Astyanax mexicanus: one gene and its partner. The protein of the gene in region 2 interacts with the protein of the main gene of each other region in a pairwise test. Links are inferred from orthologs where the notes say so. Each region holds a gene or a part of one and is shown on either strand. Other genes may lie near its edges. The genes, in order: sephs1 and zbtb25.

The links.
Region 1: the proteins of zbtb25 (region 2) and sephs1 interact in binary tests that used the Homo sapiens proteins (3 or more experiments, as listed by UniProt). The two-hybrid records come from large-scale screens. The link is inferred for Astyanax mexicanus from reciprocal best matches to the Homo sapiens genes ZBTB25 and SEPHS1.

What each region holds. Positions count from the first base shown.
Region 1 is NC_064416.1:15,379,359-15,388,614, forward strand, and holds the start of sephs1 (selenide, water dikinase 1), read right to left. Parts: upstream 3,656-9,256; 5' UTR 3,406-3,655; intron 2,002-3,405; exon of another isoform or gene 1,866-2,001; intron 820-1,865; 5' UTR 783-819; coding exon 590-782; intron 366-589; coding exon 262-365; intron 1-261. Other genes in the region: bend7 (BEN domain-containing protein 7), read right to left, coding at 6,022-6,071, 6,189-6,242, 7,177-7,233, 7,349-7,462, 8,537-8,762. UniProt on the Homo sapiens protein: Synthesizes selenophosphate from selenide and ATP.
Region 2 is NC_064408.1:77,708,711-77,717,283, forward strand, and holds the start of zbtb25 (zinc finger and BTB domain-containing protein 25), read right to left. Parts: upstream 3,539-8,573; 5' UTR 3,018-3,538; intron 1,667-3,017; 5' UTR 1,641-1,666; coding exon 1,468-1,640; intron 316-1,467; coding exon 1-315. Other genes in the region: zbtb1 (zinc finger and BTB domain-containing protein 1), read left to right, coding at 7,476-8,573. UniProt on the Homo sapiens protein: May be involved in transcriptional regulation.

The DNA of each region.
Region 1 (9,256 bases), on a different chromosome or scaffold from region 2:
TAACGAGTTTATAGGGCAGGCCGGGTTGTGCTCGGACAGAATGCGCACAGGCTTGATTTGAATTGGACTGGAGTTTTTGGGCCCAATCAAAGCTCCAGTGTAGTTATGGAATGAGGTTCATGAACATTTACTTAAATGGCACAGGACCACTACAGAGAAGATACTATTCTTTATTATTAGTGTGTTATGAAAGCATTATATTGATTTGTTCTATTGTACTGAACTGGATTTTGATTAGTTATACACATAAGTGATATTTACCATCATGTATGGGTCATCTACTATAGGGTAGATGTAATCTGTGGTTTGTACTAGTGAAAGCCCCCCGTGTCTCAAAGGAATAACACAGGTGTCCATTCCAATGCCTGTAATAGACACAAACACGCATATACACATACTTTAAATCAGAAGTTATCATTTAAAAATAAAGGTAGCAGCATGTTTTAAAAAGCCTGTTTAAATTAAATAAATAATACTGCTGAGTATATTTCAGCCATTTAGCTTCAAGACACACTACAAATAAGAGTGACAGCAGAATGCGACTATTCTATTAAGACTGAAAAAATACTGAAAAAAATATTTTACAAACCTAGTCTGGGCATAACTGCCCCGAGGAACTGCTCATCCTCCTGATAATGGTTCTCCTGCAAAGCCTCGAGAAGTTTCTGAAGGACATCCTGAGCAACTTTACAGCCAGTGCCTTTCAGTTCTGTGAAGCGTGTTAGCCTGAAGTTCTTATCCAGATCGTAACTCTCCGGGTTAAAAGCCTCCCGCACTGACATGGTTTAGATTTTACTGGAGCCCACACCAGTCAACACACTGAGGGATAGATTAAAATTTTATATTAGCTGCATCTTTACAATAAAATAAGTTCATATTAAAACACACACACACACAGAAAAGCCTGCAGATTAAATTAATAGGCACAGTGGCAATACTGTCAAGACAAAACTTTTGCCTTAATTTTTGTTCTTTTTTATTTATTTATTTATTTTACATTTAAACAAAATTTTAAATGTTATGTTTTACTGAGTGATTAACATTAACATAACAAAATTAATTTATTGTATTTTTTTTTCTTTAGCGAATAGTCCGCAGACCCCTTCAACCTTACATATAGCTTTTATATTAAACACGTTGCAAAAGCAACTTCCTTGTATTTCAGTTAAGAAACAGCATAAAACATGGAAATAACTGCCACATAAAAATACTTTTTTACTCTACTGAGATCTGACATACTCTCTAGAAGCTTTAATATGTACAGATTTCCACTATTCCATTTTAAAAATAGTGCACAACCCCATTGAACTTCACATGCAGCTTTTTTATTAAACATGGTGCAAACGTAACCCTGTATTTCAGTTAAGGCAAAGTGTATAAGTGTAGATAAAAGACTATTCTATCCTATAAAAGACAAGACAATCTACTGAGAATCTCTCTGGAAGCTTCTATTAAGACCATCGTCTCATTTTGAAAATCGCATTAAAACATAAACCTCCCAGCCCTAATATTTATATATAGTGATATATTTGTACAGTAGTGCTGCATTGTTTAATTACGCTAGATTCCACTCTTTATAAAGTCCTTTTACTTTGTCTAAAATACTTTTTACTTTTCCTGTATTTATATGTGTGTGCACTTAAAAACACACCCATACTAAAATCAGTGCCCAACTAAACTCCTCCATTCACCGAGCTGTTTATAGAGGAGTTTCCAGCACATCCTCCCCTTTAAAAACAGCGCACTAAGAGCGCGCGCACAACCACATCAGCTCAGCCACTGATCAGCAGCAGCGGCGGCTATAGGCCCGAGATTCCTACAGAGCAGCAGCTGCTGCAGCAGAAACAGCTCTAAAAGTTACTAACGGGGTTTATACGCGTCTTTAAAACCCGCTGCTGCTCATCTGCAGGTCTGATCCAGCGCAGCAGTGAAATACGGGGAGGCTAGATGTAGTAAAGTGGGCGGTGTTGCTCTGTTAGCTGCTGCAGCTGTTTGTAGCTCTGCTGCTCTCGCACCACCAGCTAATGCTACCAAAGAGCCTCTACAGAGAGGAGACTGCCCACTTCAGCACCTACCCCGGGCTTCTTTCACCACCAGAGGGGGTCCAAAATAAATGGGTTCATATGAAGCAATTGAGCAAAAGCAGAGTTTATAAATGTTTTATTTTATATACTGAAAATGTTCTCATTTTCTCAACACAGAATATTTATTTTTTAAAGCTTTTAAACTCAACCCGTCAGTTTAATGCAGACTTCTACTTCACTACACACCAAAAAAACAGGTATAATATAAGTAGTTTTTTGTACACTTTTCATAATTGTACCCTCAAAGGTATAATATTGATCTCTTAAGATGGTCAAGTACAAAGTGGGAAATGATGCAGCTTTCAGACCTTTTGTTATTTCAGCTCAGAAATCAATATTTGGTGTAATAACCCTGGTTTTTAAAAACTTTTTTTTTAAAAGTTGTCAATCATCTGTCTGACACACCTTGTTTTTAGATAACTTTATGCCACTCTGGTGCAAAAAATAAAGCAGCTCTTGATTATATTCCAGAAGTTTTTATTTTGGTAAAAATTAAAGAAACTTTTAGGTGAAATTAATTCAGTCTTTACTACGTCCTTTGCTGCTGCACTCTGCACATGTTAAGTTTACAGGTGTGTACACTGTGTAAAGTTGTCAGTTATCGTGCACTTGTGAGCTACTGTAACCAAACAAACTAAAAATCTGTACTATGCGTAATTGTAGCAGGTCCGCCTTCTTTGCTATTTTAGCACAAACTTTAGTTCTACCTTCTAATAATAAAGATATATTATAGACAATCAATTAATTACTATTTTTAATGTGCGTTTTAGCTTTTTAGCTCCATTCACACCCATTAATTTAGGTCTCACTTGCGGGCTCCCTCTAGCGGTTCGCAGTCATATAGACACAGTCTGATATAATGGGGGAACTAGCTAACCTAGCTCAGAAGTGGGCAGACTCTGTAAAAACAGCTTTGCTAATGCTACCCTGCAGCAAACAAACCTCCAAAATAGCCAACAAACACCTTCAATACTGCAGCTTTTCACCCCACACATACACTAAGCCGCGAATAAGCTCCATTAAACACGCGCCCGAGCTTTAGTTAGCGGGCTATTTTAGTATAGGCTGGTTTAAGCGTTTATAGTAAAATGTCGGCGGTGGAAAAAATTAACCCTTGCAGCGCCCAGCGCCATGAGAGGTGTGCTCCAACTAGGCATTAAAACCAGCGCTCAGACCCCGCTGCGCCCCTTTAGAGCCCACTAGACCCGCAGAAACCCGTAAACTAGGGCGTAAAGGAGCGCTCCCCGCGCTTTAAGCGCTGTGGCACACATGCATTCCCGCTACATTTCCCCTTTAATTCAGCAGCTCCGCTTCTCCTTACCGGTTTCGCTTTAGCGGCGCCTCCCGATACAGAGCCGCAGCAGGCCCGCCGCCACAGCGCCTTCTCACAGCTGCCCGCGCCGACCGCCTGCCTGAAAACACCGCGCCCAGGCCCGCGGCTCTCCCTCCCGGCCTCACAACCAGCGCTACACCTCCAGCTCAGCTCCGCGCCGAGCAGCAGAAATACAGCGGTAAATTACAGTAATAAACAGCGCGGTCTGCGGGAGCGGGATCCCACACTGACCCGCGTCCAACACAAAGGGTCCTGATCAGGCGCTGTGGCGCGATTACCTCCCCTTTAAAGAGGCTCCAAGAGAGCCAGAGAGTGAGTGAATGACTGACTGAACCCAAACACTGTACCTGTACACCTGAACCAAACACTGAACCTGTACATCTGAACCCAACACTGTATGAAACACTGTACCTGTACACCTGAACCAAACACTGTACCAAACACTGATCCTGTTCATCTGAACCAAACGCCGAACTTGTACATCTGAACCAAACTCTGTACCTGTACACCTGAACCAAACACTGTACCAAACATTGTACCGGTACACCTGAACCAAACACTGTACCAAACATTGTACTGGTACATCTGAACCAAACACTGTACCAAACACTGATCCTGTTCATCTTAACCAAACACTGTACCTGTACATATGAACCCAACACTGTACCAAACGCTGAACCTGTACATCTTAACCAAATACTGAAAAATGAAACACTGTCTCTGTGAATTTAAATCCAGCACTGAATCTGTACATATGAAACAAACACTGATAAATAAAACACTTTCTGCGTATTTGAACTCAACACTGAAAAACAAAACACTGAACCTGTACATCTGAACCCAACATTAAATCTGTACATCTGAACCAAACACTGAAAAACAAAACACTGAACCTGTACATCTGAACTCAAAACTGAACCTACACATCTGAACCCATCTAAATATTCAATTGTTAATTTTATTATTGTTTAAGCAAAAGTCATATTCACAAATGTGAATCGACTAATTCTACACTTCACACATTTATTGTGGTTGCCAACTAATGCATTAATCATCACTGCATTGTCTAAAAAGCTGTAAAAACCAGGGATGTATTAAATACTTTATTTAATGTGTTTTTGTAAATTGTGTATTCACTTAGATTTTTTCTTTTCTTCTGTATCTGTATAGTATCAATTTGGTTCCATATACTACACGGGGACAGTTTTCCAAACAGAGACTAATACTAGCCTTGGATTAGGCATAATCCCTGTCTGGGTAACCAACACACAATGTATATGTTCTAATTATTAAAAAAGACAGTCAATGTGAAGTAGATGCCAACAAACCATTATTATGATTTCATATTTTGTGGACTAAGTGGATTTGCAAATTAATAAGAACAGACGAGTTTTGTCAGCTGATTTTGTTTTTAGTTTTTAAGCAGAAACCCTAAATACCATGTATTTGTGTTCTGTTATAAGTGCCCTTGGAACAATAATATAGTATATGTATATGAAAATGTTCCTGCATGTGTGTTAAGGTATTTCACAATAAGGATTATTGTCTATTGTCAGATGTTTTATACAGGTACATAATTTAAAATAATTTAAAAAGTTTTTTTAATAAATAAACAGCAAAATGTGCAGATTTTGAAATATATTAAAATGTTTACATAAAAAAAAAAAAAAAAAAAAAAAATATATATATATATATATATATATATATATATATATATATATATATATATATATATATATATATATATATATATATATATTTCTGATTACTCCAGTACATATTATGGTAATGTTTTAAATGACCACTAAGACCAAATAAAGCACTGCATTTTATATACAATAATAAGACACACTTCAAACAGTTTAGGCTCTTTTTTCCTTTCTTACAGGTTTTAAACAATCGACATAGACAATCTGTGCATACAGTACAATAATCAGTCAAGCATTAAAAGCCAGTGAGGTAAAAATCCATGTGACTGAGACGAGGGACTTAATTCACTCAGTTGTGCACATTACACATACATATCCTCTTATACTGGGAGAGATTTAGCACATATCATAATCAGCTTATATGGTCACAGTACTGGTACATTGATTACTATGCGAGGAGAATAACATTAGGTACTGCTGATGTGGAAAATGGCACTATATATACATTTTACAATATACAGTGCTTTTGGAGAGGTATGGCAGAATGAGTTAAAGGCACACAATCATATTTTCTCAACATCAGAGCTTCACTTTGTCTCATGAAGCACTTGGAAGAGGTTAAGGAAGTACACACACACATTACTTCATATATTTAACTATAAAACAACAACAATCCAAGTCATTCACACACATTTTAAACCACCATACATAACAGGAAGCATCTGAAACAAAACAGAAAAACAGTTTTTAACAGTGTATTTAGAGCAGTCACAGAGTTAGGGAGGTTTCTGTTGTGAGATGAGCAAGCTCATTTAGTCCTTATCACCAGTTTCTACCATCTGAATTGTCCAGCCCTTTCATGAAGACAATCAAAAATACCTCAGACTTTAGACTGATTCACGCTGCCGTCCAGACTGATTCAGGACTTCTTCTGAAGCAAATGGAGGGGAGACTTTTAAGCATGTTTGTTTGCAGATTGATGCCCTCCTAGTGCATAATCTGCACCTATTATAGAAAAGAGGGAAATATACTGTATGTTAACACAACATTGCTCTTACACTGGATATATGGATACAAAATATATATATATATATATATATATATACATTAGATGTTCATTACCATTTAAACTCATCTGAGACTTCAGCCCATTCTCAGCAGTGAGTTGTGATTCACCTGGCATAAAAGAGATTATATAGGATATAAAGAGATAAATACATGAACATGCACTAGGAATAAAATATAAGAAACTGTAATAGCTAGATGGCACTGTTTCTCTGAAATACTCCCTTTAGTATCAACACAAAACTCTATCTCCACCCGCTCTCTGTATATACAGTGGCGTAAAAAGGCTTTTCCTCCTTCCAGAATTATTTTATTTTTGCATTTATGTCATACTTACATTGTTCTGGTTATTAAACAAACTTTGATATCAGACAAATATAAGTTGAGTAATATAAAAAGCACTTTGAAATGATATTAAAAAGTCTGAGAAAAAACTATTTAAACCAATCTAGCTCTTTGTAAAAAAGTGTTTGCTCCCCCCCCCAAAAAAATGTGATTATTAATTTAATTACCTGTAGAATTAAAAAAATACTTAAATAGAACCTGTCTGACAACATAAAGCAGTCATTCCACGATCTAAAGACATTCAAAAACAGATGAAAAAATGAATTGACATCTATCAGTCTGGAAAATGTTACAATGTCATTTCTAAGGCTTTGGGTATCTGGATGACCACAGTGAGAGCTAGTATTCACAAATGGAGAAGACATGGAACACTGGTAAACCTTCCCAGAAGTGGCTGGCCAACCAAAACTATTCCAAAAGGGCATGGACAACTCATCCAGGAGGTCACAAAAACCCCAGAAAAACATTTAAAGATCTGCGGGTCTGCCTCTGCGATATTCATAATTACCATTTGGACATGTAGTGCATTTGTCTACATTTAAATTCTTCATTTTTAAATAATATTTAAGTCTTTGTCATTTCAATTATTTTCATTCTAATTTATTATTATTATACAAATGCACCATTTTCATACTGTCCTAACCATCTTAGTGTTTATATTGACAAATTACGAGGATGGACAAGTAATGTGCTTCTATACCTGTTTTATCTGTAGGTGTCCTGTTGAGGGTCTCGTCACAGTCTGTATTTGTCTCTGCTGTACAACCATATACACACACAACCACACACGCGATTATGTAATAAACGATCACCAATCACATAGCTTTGTAGTACAGTATGTGGTCTGTAAACAAAAAAGGGTATACACCAACCTCTTTTTAAGCGCCGGCGAGCCAGTTTGATCTGGTCTTGAAGGATCTGGACCCAGTCTCGTGGACCAGGAAGCTTCTCAATTCTGTTAGCAGTGCAGTACTTTTCTGTGAACACTGCACTCAGACACAAACAGTCATAAAAATGTGTAAAACCATTAAATAAAATAAAACTTTCTCAAGATTAGGGTTATACAGCTCTGGAAAAAAAAGAGACCACTTAAAAATGACCAAAAATGACCAAATTGAAAATTGGAATATAATCAAGAGAAAGACGAATGACCACAAGCCATCAAACTAAGCTGAACTGCTTGAATTTTTTGCACCAGGAGTGGCATAAAGCTATCCAAAAAGCAGTGTGTAAGACTGGTGGAGGAGAACATGCCAAGATTAATGAAAACCAGGGTTATTTCAACAAATATTGATTTCTGAACTCTTAAAACGTTATGAATATGAACTTGTTTTCTTTGCATTATTTGAGGTCTGAAAGCTCTGCATCTTTTTTGTTATTTCAGCCATTTTTTTCATTTTCTGCAAATAAATGCTCTTAATGACAATATTTTTATTTGTAATTTGGGAGAAATGTCTGTAGTTTATAGAATAAAACAACAATGTTCATTTTACTCAAATATATACCTATAAATAGCTAAATCAGAGAAACTGATTCAGAAACTGAAGTGGTCTATTATTTTTTTCCAAAACTGTAGGTGTTTTATTGTATACTGGCACAGGCTGGTAAGTACTTTTTATGCAAATTTTACGCAAACATGACTTGAGTTAAGCAGTGTTACACAGTACTGGTGAGAGGCCCAATGCAGAATCACCAAAGATACATAGTGCAGCTAATACAATTATGATGCTGCTATTTTACGGTAAAATATTATACTGCTTAAATTACAACTTTCTAATATAATTGTCCATTGTCCAAAACATGTAATTAGGTGGTTTGTAAACAGAAGCTTCATGGCCTTCATGGTTTGCAAGAATCCTAAAACAGGTTATATTTGGGTCTTCATTCACTGATGTAAGGCTTATAGAACATACCAATTTGTAAAATTCTAAATTATGTTTCCATGAGTGGAAAATTCTTTATTTTATTTAAAAATGTTTATACGGTTTGTGGTACTGTATATTTTCAGAATTTATACCATTACAACAAACTCTTAGCTTGGTTTATTGCTGTCCACTCACCTTTGATGGCTCCCACTATGTTTTGGTCTAGTCCTTTTCTATGGTCATTCAGACCCCTCTTCCTCTTTCCATTGGGCAGTGAGTTAGCTAGCGTAGCATCATCGAAGAAGGCACACACCAGCTTCCTGAAGAGCAGACTGCCTGAGCGAGTGTAGTTCAGCAGGATGGAGTCCAACTGTGCCTTAGGGATGAACACTTCATAATCCTCCGCCAACTGCACCTCCGGCTGAGAGAGACAGACGGCTGAGATATTAATAAACATTATTGATACTCAATCTAATGTTCTTTACATAAGCAGCATACACACCATAACCCAAAGCACTTACACTCATATACATACATCCCAATACAACTGCCACTCTAATCACATTTACCTGATTCTCACATTCAGATACATTCAAGTCCATAGAAGTATTATTACCACATGCCTCAAAATACCAGACAGTATTACTTGAGCACCAGTTGGTATTACGTGAGCACCAGATAGTATTATGTGACCACCATAAAGTATTCGGAGAACATTAGATAGCATTAAGGTAGTACCAGATAATGTTAGATTAGCACTGGATATTGTGATGTGAGTACCAGACAGTATCAGGTAAGCACCAGATAGTATTATGTGAGCACCATATAGTATTGAGGTAGTACCAAATACTATATGGTACTCACATAATAGTATACATTAGTATTAGGAGTATTAGGAGAACACTAGCTAGGATT
Region 2 (8,573 bases):
GCCCGAGCACTGGAGCGACCATCTTCTGGATCTCGTGAGGTGCTGGCAGCCTTCAGGCCTGACGACTCTTTAGTGGTCAGCTGGGAGGAGATCTGGATGCCGTACAGGTTGGACATGCGAATGGCATCGGAGGAAGCGTCAGGACCGCCTTCACCTGCCTTCCGGCACAGCTGGTATGCATGAAGGAACTTGATGCCATCCTGCAGCCTGCTCTGATCCACAGGCTGCTTAGGGCCCATGCCTGTGTACATGATGTGCAACAGGTAGCTGAAGACATCTGGCTGGATATCAGTGGGCTGGATCTTTATGCACTCACTGAAAATTGGGAAACAATGGAATAAGCTTAGTCAATATACATATACTGCATTCTGCATTTTTTGTTTGGGATGCACTGATTAGGGGTGGGTAATATGGCCCTAAAATAATTTCAGTATTATTTGAGTATTTTTGCGATAATTATATTCTTGGCAATATGACAAAACAATCAATTAAAAAATTATTCAAGAAAACACTACTGCAATGAAAAGAATATTAAACTATATTTGTCCATATTATTGCATACATATGATATATCACATTCCTAACTGAGATTTTTACCAGATTGTAACAGAAGTCAATAATCCAAAATCTGCCATGATACTAATAATTCACTCCATATATCCAGGATTAAGGTACAATAAATAAAACTGCACAGATATAATCTCAAGTCTCTAGTAGATTTGTAATGGGAAACATGAACAGTGTGAATTTTCCTTTTTCTACAAACAGCAAAAACTTGCACCATGATGGCCCTAAAAAATATTAGAGTATTTCTACAATTTCTACAATATTTCTACATTCTACTACAATAATTAAAAATGTTGGTGATATAATTGTGTAAAATATGACATGGCACATCCCTAGCACTGAAATTGGAAGTGTAAGCCGTTGACCGATATTACATGTACGGGTGCAATGTCGGTCACTGTCAATTAGAAACAGGGGCAAAATGCACATTAATAGGTATAGTCTAGAGGATTACAAATGTATTAAAATGAACAAAATGCAGCCAATACTGATATACTGATATAATTCCAATATCATTGTGCATCTCTATAGAATTGAATTACAGTCCGGTCTTATCTGCAAGAGGCCAGGGCTGTGTTATGTGACTTCTTATTTTATTATTTGATTTCAAACAAATAATCGTGTACATCTACTTTGTTGTAATAAGAATCTGCAAGCACTCCAGCCATCTTCTTCATCTTAAAAATGTGCTCACTCCTAAAAGTTTATAAGGGAAACCCAATCCTGGTCCTAGAGATCTACCAAATTCAATGGTCCAAGTATTAAGGGTCTTTAGAGGCCTCGCAGTTTCAGAACCAGATGTTTTTTATCAGAACTCTCCAGTAGAGTAGTAAACTCTTTATGTCCAGGACTGGATAGACCTAGCTTATACCAAAAAGAGTATTTAAGAGATGGGCTAACCTGGACTGATGGATGAAGATCATCTTAAAGTAGTTGGAGAAGGCAGCCAGCACTGCTCGATGGGCTTTGAAGTATACATTGCCAATAGCTACGGTACAATCACACAGGAAACCAAACTCTCTTTGGACATTCAGTTGCTGGAGGAGGAACAGACTGTGGGTAGACACGTCCATGATGCCCCCTCTACTAGCCCAATGCCCTAAACACAAACAAACATATGATTAGGAACCGCATTAAGAAGAAATGATGGTAAAATTAGTGTAAAAAGTGGGCTCTACAAGGTTGGCCTGGGAAATTATTTAGTTTTGAATCAACCCTGGATACAGTCAGTAACTAAACACTGACCATTAATGTTGCATTAAAATTACAATATAACTAGTCCTGGTTACTCTGGCATAGTTCAATGCAGTGTGTGAATATGTGTCGTCTGTCCTCTTAGGATGCAGGATGACAAGACAACAATTGCTTAGACAAAAGAAAATATTAACCAAATCAGAGGCGTCAGAGGCCAAAACAAACACAGACACCCGTGACGGACTTAACAGTCCAAATAGGAATGTATTGGTTGAAGCAGTACTACAAAAGCTGCCGGTACTTTAACTCAGCATGTTTCCTTAATATCTGATGATACATCCTGATAATTTTATCATTTACTAATGAAAATATAATTCTTAATGGTCCTTTAAATTAATTGTTATTGAGTTGTTACATTAAATGTATTCCATCTTATCCATGTCTTCAGTGAAGGACTAAACTCAAAGCTTTAGTAATAATGAATTATATCTTATAGGAATATAGGCTATTTTTTGTGTTGTTTAATGATTTAAGGTGGAAAAGGCTGTTTTAAAATATTTAAAAATGAGGTCATATAAGGCACACAACTTTAATCTTTAATACAATGAAATTCAAGAAGACGGGATAAAGGGCGACCTCTGTTGTTGAGAGCTGGTCCTGCTTTTTTGTGCCCATTTTTTGGGGGAGACCTAGGCCAGATGTTTACATCTGGATGGGATTGTCCCAGCGACTCTGACGTCTAACGAGGCTACACGTCTGCGCTTGGCCTCGCATGAGCGCGTATCACTGGAAAAAGCGGTGAAACGGTGCAATCCGCAACTTACAGCTCTAGTGTTGCTCTATGTAAGTGACATGCCTGGCATATGATGATCCGTGGAGCTCGCGGCCGCATCTGTTGTGTGTGGTGGTGAAGTGGTGGTAGTGCTGGTGTCAGCCTGAGTTTCTTATAAAGGCTGTTGATCTGAGACAATGACAATGAGAGGCGGCACAAAAAAACGCACTTTACCCATCTTCGAATAGCGCTGTTAACTGCTGGAAGCGGCAAACAGCAGGGGAGACGAGTCGGTGCTGTCTGTAACCGAGCTCGATCCCCCCTTTGCCTCCCACCGCCAAGACAGCATCACATTCATTTTCACACGTCTGCTCTATAAGCAGTTGTCGAAGAAACGGAGGACTCGCCTGGCATGCACCTCCACACATCAAGCATGCACGCGCTCGCAGACAGACGAAACAGGCTGAAGAAAACGCAATCTTACCGCCTACGTGCGTGAGAACCGCTCGGCTCTATTAGTATTATTATGATTATTAGCTGGCGCGTGCTGCTGCAGGGACGCGCTCGTGCTGCTTCCTATGCGTCTGACGGACAGGCTCTGCTCGGGCTCTTCTGTCACGTGACCGTACATTAGCAGATGCAGACACAACGCATGGCGAGAGGCACGCATGCAAAAAAAAAGAAAAAAATGTAGCTTCCCCTACATAGCTAGCTTTAGCTGGCATGGTGGAGAATGATAGCTAGCTAGCATATCGTTCACTCAGCAAATCTCTTTACAGGAATTGTCCGTTCCACCTTAAATAGTGCACTTACTCTAGTCATGTTTAAGGTGGAACTGACTTATTCCTCACAAGAGAACTTAGCTACAAAGTCACACAACAAAGTTAGTTATAAACCTGTAGCTACAATTTAGTGAAGTTTTATCTTTGTTATCCCTCTTTCTTTTTCTGTTGCTTCTCCATTCTATATTTATACTTGTATTATATATCTATTGCCTATATATACTGACTCTGATATACTTTTATTGACTAATATATGCTTATTTATTTATCTATTCCAACTGGACACTTCAGCATGGCCACTATATATATATATATATATATATATATATATATATATATATATATATATATATATATATATATATATATAACCAGCTAATATAAAACGTTTTTTTTAGAATTAAATATATTATCATAATAATTTATTCGCAAAGTCCCCAAAGAGTAGATTGAATTGACATTCACGTTTTTAACGTTAATGCATTGAAAAACGTTGATCTCCGACGTCAGATTTGATTTATTTGAGCACATTGATTCAACATTGATTCAAAGTTATGGTTTTGTATGTACTGTTTGTTTTAAACTTTACTCACATTATAACTATAGTATGTACTGTGGTCTAGCAGGGTGAAATAGGACATTTAAATAATAATTACTAATATTAATATTATTAGCTTTCATCTAAAATCATTGTGAGTGTTTAAAACATTAAAGTGAACGTCGATTCAATGTCAGAATTTTAACATTAACCAATGTTTATTAAGCAATGGTGAATAAAGGCTGTTTTTAAGGTTGTTTTCCATCATCAACCTTAAAAGATGCAATGCAACAAAAAATAAATAAGGTTTATTCAATGTTCTTTGCCATCAGGGTCATGTTTTGTTTACCACAAAGTGAACTGGGACTTCATCGCTGTGGCTAATGTAGCTGTAACTACCTATATTTGCCCTAATGTTTATACAGGTTCTGTTTACAATGGTACTGTCATTCCATCTGTAATCTCCCCATCACTACTGCACTACTGTCTTGTGTCTTTTGTCCCATGTATGTCTATAAATGTGACCTTGTTGTATACATTTAGTGTCTCTCATTCTTTTATATTAATGTTTTTATCTTGCTGTACTTTTTGTAGCTTTGGGAAGGAGGGTAACGTAATTCAAAGGTTCAATCCTTTGTATGTCCTGTAAGTATGCAGTAATTAACAATATAACTACTTGGCTTGACTAGACTAATCCAGGTCATAGTATCTCTGCTTATAATGTATTTTACAGCCCAGTGTATCATATAGATTTTTATATATAATTTTTATTTTTCTAGCTTCTTAGTGTACTTGTGTGTATCTGTATGTAAGCTGCCGGGACACTCTCATCAAATAACGTAAGTTTAGTAAAGTGTTATCTGATCTGATTTTATATTATCAGGCTTATATGGGTCTTATCTTATTTTGTTCTGATACAGAAGTGAAATATAGTTAGATAGCTGGTTAGGAACAGGCAGGCCGTTCCCTCTATAGACTGTATACGTATATAAGTATTAATATACAGTCTGTGGTTCACTTCTCACTTTAGCACACACAGTTCATGTACGGTTGCAGTCTCACTGGCTGCCCCTGCGTGTTAGGGCGGGCTGCGTGTCTCTCTCTCTCTCTCTCTCTCTCTCTCTCTCTCTCTCTCTCTCTCTCTCTCGTATTTGCGTGTGCGTTTGCGTGCGCAAACTCGCGCAGCGGCTGTGCGGAAGTTCTTTCATCCCTCCTGCTCCTCCTGCTGCTGCTGCTGTAGAAGCGAGGGGGCGATTAGCTCTCTCTCTCTCTCTCTCTCTCTCTCCCCGTCCTCCCAACTTTCCTCCCGCCTCTCGGGCCAAGAACGCGGCGAGAGCCCGCGGCTCCGCGTCCCAGCTCCACTCCGTCGCTCGCCTCCGGTCGACGCGCGGGTGAGTATATCGTACCGCTGGCCTTCTGCGAGTGTAAACATTAGCTTTAGCTCCGAGAGCGCGAGCTCTTCCTCCTCCCAGTACCATTACGTGCGGGGGAAAGCAGCGTGGGGGCGGCGGGCGGGCGTGCGGGAGAGACACACACGCAGGCAGCGAGCGAGCGAGCCGCAGATCAGAGCTCCAGACCCGCCGCTTCACTGATCCCGTGTACCCGCTCGACCCCGCTCATGACCCCGACTCGACCGGGCCGGTGTTTCAGACACTTTCGGACGAGCGGAGTTTTGTTTTTTAGTTTTTTTTTTCAGTGCGTGATGATTGACAGCCACGACGCCCGCATGAGTCTGGCCCGGGAACGGACCAATCAGAGCGCGGGGGCGGGACTTCCACCTCCCAGTTTCAGCACAACAAAGAGAAAGTACAGTCAGAGTGCACTCTCTGTACACTCCTGTACACTCCTGAACTCAGGGCTTAATACACACAAACACCACGCTCCTCACCAGTGACAGAGACTTAAGGAGTTATTTAGCCTGTATTTACCGAACTATACCGTAATACAGAGTGTTAAACACAGTCAGAGTAGCTCTGATCTATACAGAGAGTACAGACTTTACAGTGTGTATAATCGTTCCTGTCACACACAAAGTATGTCACATACACGAAAGTTGAATTAATGTATTTATTTAGGCACATTAATTTACAACTTACAGCAGAATGGCTCTACTAATTATTAATTAACACTAGTTAGTACATACATATTTTAACTAATGTGTAAATTCATTACTGTTTATTCATTTTATTATTATAAATAATAATACTTATTAGTAAATGTTACCCATCTTTTTTGTTGTTGTTTTGAAAGAGGCAACATGTTTAAATATAGTTTTTTTTTTTGTGAGATTCTAGATGGGCAACCCCCTAAATGGGCTGTAAGTTTAATCAGCAAATTCTGTAAAGTTTGTCAGGAGGTTGTTTTGGTTAAAAAGGAAAGGGGTAGTTAGAAATGTGTGTGAAAATAGCAAGCTTGGTGTGAGTGTGAGTCACAACGTCAGTGTTTGAGAGTTGGCAGCCCTGATTATGTATGCAAGACAACTGTACAAATTGCAACTGAGGAAATACTATGCAAACAGGAGAATGAAAAACTTTTCCTTGTTATGTAAATATGTTTATATTTCTCTTGACTTATTCTAAATTAAAGTGAAGGCCAATAGTCAAATTCACATTCTGTAAAAAGGTGAAAACATATAGCCCTCACACCACAGAATTAGTTGTACTGCAGTGCTCTAATTTAATGTAAATCTCTAATGTAAACAAGTCCATAGCTCCCTAGCTTTCCCACTGTTAATCAGAAAGAATGTACATAGACTTATAGTCCATGTCTGTTATAATAAAGATTACTATTAAATACTAGTACTACTATTGTACTAAAATACTAGAAAACAAACAGAAAAGTTGATCGACTGCTTTTTAAGACTACATAGAAAGACTACAGTTTGCATGTAATTAAGTAACAAAAGAGATAACATAAAAAAACAGATCACAGCAGATCACACTGGATGGCAGATACTGTGCTTGCCCCATCCACACACATGCTGGATTTTTTTTTTTGCCTTGAGTCCTCATGAATACTAAATTTCAAGTGACTGAAAATTTGCTTTTCACTGTTTTTGTGTGGGTAAACAAAATAGCTTATAGAAAAGATGGAATTTTTTTTCTGATTCAATGTTTTAGCTCCACATGGTATTTAGATCTACACTTGATTTTTAAGGAAAACCTTAAAAATTCTTAAGGTCAAAAAATCAAACCTTGTGAAATGTTGGTGCTTTCTGCTGAATTTTATAGTTAGAGACAGAGTAAAAAGTTATGTTGTCTAAAATGTGTGGACAGGACCTCAGTCAGAGAAATATCATATTCAATTAGATTTATGCTTTTTTAAGTTATATTTAAGTGAAGAAAGTATGATACATTGAAAGAGAATTTAAAGTAATTTAATTTGGCAATTTCTTCCTCTATCGTATTGTCTTCAATGTATGTATATGTATTTGAAAGATTATTATACATGTAAGTTATCAAGTGAGCCAATTGTAAAAGCAAAAATATGCTGTATGTTATTCCATTCACTTTTGTACAAGTAATTTTGGTGAACTTCCCTTATTACTGTATATATATATATTTAATCATGGTGGTGTGTGTTTTTTCTTCTTTTTTTCTTTCTTTACAGTCCTCCATAGGTGATGGCAAGGCCAAGCCACAGTGAGCATGTTTTGCAGCAGCTTAACAACCAACGGGAGTGGGGTTTCCTGTGTGACTGCTGCATCACCATTGGTGACATTTATTTCCGAGCCCACAAGGCTGTGCTGGCGGCCTGCAGCTCCTACTTCAGGATGATGTTCATCCGAGACCAGCAGGGGACAGCGCGCCTGGATCTCAGCAACATGCAGATCAGCGCAGAGTGCTTTGACCTCATCTTGCAGCTCATGTACCTCGGCCGTATCATGGTTGGCCAATTTGAGTTTGAGGAACTGAAGTCCTCCATGGCTTATCTGCAGATGTACTACATCCCTGATTCTCTGGAGGATCTGCGAGACATCCGAACGCCCAACCTTACTCCTTCCTCTTCTGCCTCCTCATCATCATCCAGCTCCTCGTCCTCCTCCAGTGCAGCGGGAGGCAAGATGATGTTCGGCGTACGCATGTTTGAGCAGCGGAGGTCGAGCCCCGCAGAGAGCGAGCGTGTGCCCAAGGTCGCAAGCACACCCACTCGTCCGAACATTAACATCTCAACTGTGAGGCCTGTTGAAGATGTGGTCCTCACGCTTGCTCCAACACACTCTGATAATCTCGTGGAGCAGCCTTGTGATTTGAGAAAGAGGACCTCAGGCCGCAGCTCCACCTTGAAAGAACGGCCCCGGTTCGGTCGTACTTACACATGTGACGACTGTGGCTTTGTCTTCAGTTGTGAGAAGCTGCTCATCGAGCACATTCTCACATGCACCAACCGCAAGGCTGTCCAGGCACCCGCAGCCGGCAAGGCAGCTGACAACCACTCCGGCAAGGCCGAGAGTTCAGCCTCTGAGGGATTGGAGGAACATAGAGCAGATTACAAGGGTGAAGAGGACTGGTCTGACCACAAATCAGATCCAGAAACTGTGATCAGGTCCGTTGCCACAGGAATGGACAACGATCCAGCCTTGTCCAGGAATATAACCATTAAAGTAGAGCAGGAAGAAGACTCTGACACAGAGATGGAAAACATCAGTGTAGTTCAGATGGCTAACCATAGTGTAGGGAGCTGTAAGGTCCGCCACCAGAACTTCAGAGCCGATGCTGCA